Arabidopsis thaliana: one gene and its partner. The protein of the gene in region 1 interacts with the protein of each later gene in a pairwise test. Each region holds a gene or a part of one and is shown in the gene's direction. Other genes may lie near its edges.

Evidence for each region. Proteins that work in one complex are often made in the same cells at the same time.
Region 2: the proteins of AT1G04650 (region 1) and AT3G27120 interact in a two-hybrid assay, tested with the Arabidopsis thaliana proteins (one study listed by BioGRID).

What each region holds. Positions count from the first base shown.
Region 1 is NC_003070.9:1,297,327-1,301,080, reverse strand, and holds the start of AT1G04650 (holliday junction resolvase), read left to right. Parts: upstream 1-2,057; 5' UTR 2,058-2,177; coding exon 2,178-2,225; intron 2,226-2,517; coding exon 2,518-2,610; intron 2,611-2,824; coding exon 2,825-2,959; intron 2,960-2,997; exon of another isoform or gene 2,998-3,046; coding exon 3,047-3,136; intron 3,137-3,225; coding exon 3,226-3,375; intron 3,376-3,545; coding exon 3,546-3,754. Other genes in the region: AT1G04660 (glycine-rich protein), read left to right, coding at 1-413.
Region 2 is NC_003074.8:10,002,522-10,006,275, reverse strand, and holds the start of AT3G27120 (P-loop containing nucleoside triphosphate hydrolases superfamily protein), read left to right. Parts: upstream 1-1,969; 5' UTR 1,970-1,994; coding exon 1,995-2,419; intron 2,420-2,693; coding exon 2,694-2,832; intron 2,833-2,962; coding exon 2,963-3,250; intron 3,251-3,368; coding exon 3,369-3,604; intron 3,605-3,754. UniProt on the Arabidopsis thaliana protein: Involved in DNA double-strand break (DBS) repair via homologous recombination (HR). Limits class II meiotic crossover (CO) formation by regulating the invasion step of meiotic HR.

The sequences.
Region 1 (3,754 bases):
GTGGTGTTGCCGGCGTGGGAGGTCTAGGGATGCCACTCATCGGTGGTCTTGGCGGGATCGGTAAGTATGGTGGCATAGGCGGTGCAGCTGGAATCGGTGGATTTCATAGTATAGGCGGTGTTGGCGGTCTAGGCGGTGTCGGAGGAGGTGTTGGCGGTCTAGGCGGTGTTGGAGGGGGTGTTGGTGGTCTAGGTGGCGTTGGCGGTCTAGGTGGAGCTGGTTTAGGCGGTGTAGGTGGTGTTGGCGGTGGTATTGGTAAAGCCGGTGGTATTGGCGGTTTAGGTGGTCTAGGCGGAGCCGGAGGTGGTTTAGGTGGAGTTGGTGGTCTCGGTAAGGCTGGTGGTATTGGTGTTGGTGGTGGTATCGGTGGTGGACACGGCGTGGTCGGTGGTGTGATCGATCCACATCCTTAATAGAGAGTATTTGTTGGTTAGGGTTTTAATTAAGGAATAATTAATTAGTTTCGATGTTATTGTTGGTCTTTTAATTCTGTGATCATTAGGGTGACTTTTGATCTATTTTCTAGTTTGGGCTTTTGTAACGTTTGCTTTGATTTCGGCCGTGGTGTTATGAAATGTGCGACTCTCTATGTTTGAATCGTTTTGGTTTAGGAGGTTCTCTTCTTCCATACTTTTGCATGTTCAAAGACAAATTTTTAATTAAGAGGAATTATCAAGGTTTCCGACGAGATATTTTTTGAAAATGAAATTGGTTTGAACTTGTAATGATATTTAAAATATGAAAACATCACTCAAAAATGGATGGAGTACAAACTTTTTCCACTATATATACATTACATGTAAAAAGTGTATAGATTTCGTTTTTGTTGCACTGTCTAACTCTAAATAAGTCGGATATCAAAGTTAGTATATAGTAAAAAAAAAAAAAAGTTAGTATATATATCCAAGTGGTAAAACCCGTAAAATTAACATATATATATATATATATATATATATATATATGAGTTTGGTCAAGGGTTTTGAAAGATCTCGACTAAGAGAAGACATATGAGTTTTGGTTCAAAAAGTCCTTCGATAATCATTAGAAACGAATTAATATATAGTAAAATTGAGTAAAAATGTTAATCTATTAACCAAAGGTTAACTATATAGAAGATTAATATATTATAAAACTAACCAAAACATTGGATATTGGTATATCCGGATTATTTTCCTCGTTGATGATCGCAATATTGCATTCAGCCATCTACTACACACTTCCTCGTTGATGATCACAATAATGCATTCAGCCATCTACTACACACTGACACATATGATTCGTAATTTCGTATGAAATGTTTGAACTCATACTTTTAATTTACATATTTAAGATGGACGTAACAATGAACATTTGTTCAGAACTTGAGATTGTACTACCCCTATAAATAACGCCTATTTACTAATTACTATGCATGGTTCATCATGGTTGGAAATTTCTTTGCAAATGATCTAGTGTATATTAATCCAAAATATATAGGAAAAATACATTAATTGTGGGAGGAAGACAGCAAGAATCCACAAAAAGGAAGCACTAATAAATGACGTAATAATTGCGTTGGGATGAGAGGGACACAAATTAAAGAAGATAGGATTTGCATGTCAAACACTTGTTGTCCCATTTCATGCATCGTCCTCTCTATTGTCTATTTCGCTGTCACAACCTCTAAATTTACATCTCATGCAATTTATTACGACGTATACATACACCCTTCAAATTTTTATTCGTTTGCATTTGTATATATATACATATATATTAGCTAGTAAAATTAATCACAATTTATAATTTTGTAATCATTAAAAATATTGTAGTAAAAAAAGCAAAACCCAAAAAAAATAGAAAAGAAAACTGAACTGGTTGGTGTTTGTGGTATTTTTTTTAATAATTTTGTTAAGGATTTGATATGGGTTTCAATTTTAATGGTGGACCGAATTGAAAATCATCGAGTGAAAATTGAGCTACTTACAAAGCCCAATTAGATCCAACGGGCCTCAAAATATCTTTTATATTCCATTTTTTTTAATTTGTTTTTGTTTAATAAATCAAAAATTGAAAAGCGAAAGGCAGAGAAAATTTCCAATATAGGCGAAATGTAAAGAGCGGGAAGCTAAAGCCTAGAGAGAGATTCTCACACTGCCAAAACAAAATTTCCCTGTAGAGAGAGAGAGAAAGAGTGAGTGATGGAGAAGAATGCGATGAAGTTACTCGAAGAGATCAAATCTTCTGATGTAAGCTTCTCTTTGATTTCCACCTTTGATTTGATTTTCTAGGTTTCTGTATATTTTTTCCAACTAAAATCTTCTGGTGGATTTTATCGCTTCCGGTAGTCATTTCTACGAATCCTCTCTGTTAAATCGAGAAATTTCTTCTGATTGCTTTGGGTTTTGTGATGTTTCTTATCAATTTCCCTTCCGATTAAGTTTCTGCAGCTTAATGTATATATAGAGTGATTAGGATTCAGTTGAGTTCTGTAGCTCATGGATCTAACGAGCTTCGTTTTCTTCATTGTTCGCTCAACAGCTTATCGAGAATCGGGCTCAATTACTCACGCGGCTCAGTCAGTTAGATGTTGAAGAGAATTCTGATTTGCCTTCTTTTGTGGAGAGCCTAACTGTATCCCCAGTCTTTTCATCAGTTTTGCTGATTTTCAATATCTTCAGTTATACTATGTTTAAAATTGAGATGTGGATATCCATTATGTGACGGTTGGATTCAGGATAATGAAGTGACGAACTTATATCTGCTTATTTGCATGTTTCACTTGGATTCATATATGCTTTAAGTGGTTTGTTTGTTTGTTTCCAAGTATTCCTTGACAGCTGTATAGACACTCTGGGAAGATTTCACATGTCTTGACGTTTCCCTGTGTTTGTTGAACAAGGCGATTCTGCCTGTGGCTTCAAAATACCTCGCTTTGGATCGGCCTGATTGCTCACACTACTTTCTTGCTTTTGCTATTAAGGTACAATGTTTTCATTTTTATTGCTTACTGCTCAACCTCAATTTTGGAGGGGTGTTGTATTATCTTTTCTTATTCCACTTCTTCTAGGTAAGCCAATGGTGTGCCAAACATTTAAACATGTCTGTTATGTCCATGGAGGAGTCTCAAGAGGAAGAGCATTCCAACATTTTCTTTCAGGTTATTTGATGCTTTTTGGTTCTGGAAGTAGGATTCTGTCGCAGCTTATGGTTTCGAAGGGACTGAGTTATTCAATCAATGTTATGCAGCTTCTTTTGGATTATCTTCGTTTTTCTGCCTCAAGCTTTACTGCTATTGGAAAAACTTGTTTCATGACTGATGATGCCTCAGCTGTTACAGTTCATAAGTTTGTTTCAGAGCAGCTCAATTTGACAAAGGAGTTGATAATGAATTCCAAGGTATCTTTGAAAATCATCTTTATCTTTCGCTAGTAACTACACGTACCATATCATGAAACATTTTTAACATTTGTTTTGTTGAAATTACTACTGTAGGTTGAGAATCAACTTGAGATTATTGTTTTGCCTTGTTGTCATCTGTTAATAACTTTCACCTTTCTATGAGACAGAAAGTCGAATCCTTTTCCTCGGAGATTTTTAAGGCTGTGCAAGTGGTAATTGATTCTACTGTTCGTCTGTGCAAAGAATACTCTCAAACAGTGAATCGTGAGGTAAGTGAAATGAAGACGAGTGGACATGTAGGAAAGGCAAGGATGGAGGAAGGCAACGCTGTGGGTAATTTGGTGAGCATGATTACGCTGGGAGTTAAATCTCTGAG
Region 2 (3,754 bases), on another chromosome or scaffold:
TGATGTGCATCTCAGGTCTCAAAGTATACTCTAACACTTTACAAGTAGCCATCCACAAGCGACCATTTCGTGTTGACCATATATAGTTATACTTGTACGGATCAATTACAAATTGAAGAATAGTTATGATTTATAAGGATAACCAAAACCCAAAATTATTGAAAAAAAGAGATTGAAAAAATAGTTTTTTGAGTTAATAGTCGATGGAAACTATTTTGGGTACAAAAGAGGAAACCAACATACAAAAATGGTCACCGAACCTGCAAAAGTACATTGTTCATATGGACAATACAAAATGGATACCACAACATTGGAAATAGAAGCATATAATGAATTTTTTGGTGTTCAATTAATCTATATTGGATCATACACTTGAAATGGTTCATTTGATATGAATACTTTGGCATTGACGAGACGTTAAATACTCAAAAAGCCATATAATTTGACAGCAAACTTAGAGACAAGTTCAAGTAAAGTACGAGAGGAAGGTAAAAAGAAACGTGTCCAAATATCGTTGTCCACAAAGCTCTGTTCATTTAACACTGCTAGATCTTCTCGATTGGATTTTAAGTTTTAAATACAAGTCAAAGTTTGATTTTAAATACCAAACATCTCAAGATATAACATAAACAATCACAAGTTCAAGGGACTAATCTCTTCACCGGTGCGAAAGTTTAATAAACACACAATTATCAATAGTCAATCTCGTTTCATTATCTTTAATCATGTTACGAGAATGGTGAGTCCATAACACAATCCGTTACACAACCGTCAATTACAATTTCAAATACTAATTTGTCCATAACATATCCATGATAACAAGTCCACATAAATTTGTTCACATAAACGTCGCTTTATGGAAATATAACATAGATTTCAGCTAAACAAGGAATCATTTCCTCTAAATGTTTCCTAATAACATAATCTCACAAGAGATGGAGGTTTCGATTTCAATGGAGACATTCCAGCGATTGAAGCAAACTAGTAGAAAACTTTGTCAAATTCCAACTCCTAAATATCACCAGCCATGCTTAACACCAAATTTAGCCCAGCTCGAGAAAAAAAATTGTTGAAAGTGAGACTTACGTGAGGAAGATAGATAAGCTGAAAGAAGAATCTTAATCTTTGGTACAAGGTTCGTATTCAAGTCGAGATTCTTGAGCGATCTTGGTAGCTTCTCTTCCATAGTATTCAGTGCAAGATTTATGATCGCCGAAGATTCGAATCGAGGAATATTTGCGGACGCCATATCAAATTGGATAAACCAAAGAATATAGAACCCAACATCACATAACTTTACCTTAGTAATTCAAGAACTTTTTCTCGAAATCTACTCAATTGAAGTTGAATTAGAGTAACGAAATCCAAATCCATTAAAGAGGAGATTGATATCCCCTCGCCGAAGTCACAAGGGTATAAAGTGGTTGAGATTACGAAATCGATTATTGGAGTTTTACGGTGGAGAGAAGAAGAAAGAAAGTAGTGTAAACCGTAGTGGTGGTAGACAGTAACGGAGGAGATTGATATCCCGTCGTCGGAGTCACCTTTTCTGAAACTGTAGTTTAGGTTTTTTCTGGATTTGTTTTTTTTTACAGTTCCGGAAAAAATAAAACAAGAGATTATGGTAACTGCAAAATCAAAATCGTGGGTTTCGTAACCGGAATTGGTTTAATGAAAATGGGTTTGATTTGTTTGGTTATATATAACCGACGATTTGAGGGTAAACAAGTAATTGCAATTAGTCAAAGTGCCTAATGATTTTTAAGTGCCTAATATTCTCTATGTAAAAATATAAAAAATAAAGACGAAAGTTTAGAGGAAGCATATCCGAAACACAGTAAAACCCAAAATACAGACAATAACGGGCTTACTATTGCCCATGAAGAAACTGGGCCCGATAAGCAACTGATTTCTAAGGAAACTACACGCCGTTTCTATCTACACTATTACACTGCATGACGTTCTACGCGTCAAGCTGGTGAGAGAGTAAAGGAATGTGTGGGTCGGTGGTTTCAGATTCTGAGCGCGAATTTGAATTTCATTTCTGGGGTTTTGGGCATTTGGGGAAAGAGGAAGAGAGGATAATGGCGGGAAAGCGTTCGTCGCCGTTTTCTTCTCCGTTACTGAGACCACCACCGGAGTTTCTGAATGTGAAGGAGGAAGGAGAAACGGAGACGCCGTGTTGGAGAAAGGAAGTGGATGAGAACTTGAAGCGTCTCCAATCGCTGCTCTTCGGCGCCGACAAATTCCTGGAGAAATCTGATTTCTCTTCTGCTCAGATCCTTGGGCTTCGTCTTCTAGGTTTCCTCGATTCTCGTTCTGTCACTGACGCCGATCGTGATTTCATTGGTCCCATTCGTCGTGAAGTTGCCTCTAAGATTGATTTAGCTTTGGAAGGCCTCGTTTCAGATTCGGATCGGTACCTGAGCTTTTCCCCTTTGAGCCTGTTTAATTTCGAAGAAGAGAGGGTTCGAATTTTACTTGCTTAGCTTAGTAGAGTCTTATGAGTGTGGCTTGAATTGTTGGGTATTGGAATCAGGGAAATGTATAACTGAGTGATATTCTCTAATCTTTGGACTTCGTTCACTTAGTTACTAGCTGAAATCTAAAGATCTTTTTGAATTATCGTCAATATTAGCTACACTTGAGATTTTTAGAGTACCCTTTTATGGTGTGCTTCTTGTTGTATCCAGGAAGGCGTTTGAGCTTGCAAATACAGCTCCAGGGGCAATTTTTGGCAGCAAAGGTGGATTTGATGTGGAAAAGATTAAGCAGTCTAAGTACTTTGGTTTTCATGTCAGTCAATCTAACGGAAAGGGTGTTAAAGAGATGGTAATGCTCTTGTAAACTGCTTCATTTCTTCAATGATCTTAGTATTGGTGATGAGTTTTGGAAACACAGCCATGTTATATGTCTTGCTTCCTGTTTCTACTATGATTTCATAGATGTTTTCTTGTTTCAGGAAGAACGGCATGATACGGATAAGTTGATTCCCAAAGCACCAAAGTCAATGATGCAAGCCAAACTGACATCATTGTATGGAAACAGTATTGGTAAACCAGATAATCAGCGCAAAACTTCAGTGAACAATCAAGACCGTGCCTCTGATGAATGTGTCATTGTTGAGAGAAGTCATGGATTTGGTTTTGGAACAAAGCGACCTCATGCAGAAACCAGTAGCCTTGCAAATGATGGGGAAGTAAAGGAAGATGGAGCTCCTAATGGATTTGTATCCGCCAAAATAAAACTGGTAGATTTATTCATGACAATTACTTCTCTTAGAGTCATCTTGACTTTGCAGAGTCTTTTCTTTCGAACTGTGCTTTATTACCCTTTGCTAATGTTGACTACTATATCTGTTGCTTTAGGAAATGGATGTAAGACAAAAACGAGGATCAACTGAGTCACCAAGTTCATGTCTTTCTCCACAGAGTGACAAAAATGCTTTAGGTAGGGGCTATGGTTCAAGGTCGGGTGGATTAAGACGTGGATACCGTAGTAATTTTGTCCCTCCTGTTAAAACTAATGGGAATAATGTTGGAAACTTGACGTCTCGTATTGGTGGAAAGACTGACGATGCACTGGATGACTCAACCAGAACATGGTTAGTTGCGTAATTTCTTATTTTGATTCAAGATCCTTAGCAAACTGGAAAGCACATGCACCCTTTTTATATCCTCACCTTCGACAATAAATAAGCTTATGTAATCTGTTTTTCTTGTCAATATTTCTTGATTTTCACCTAGATAGGCTA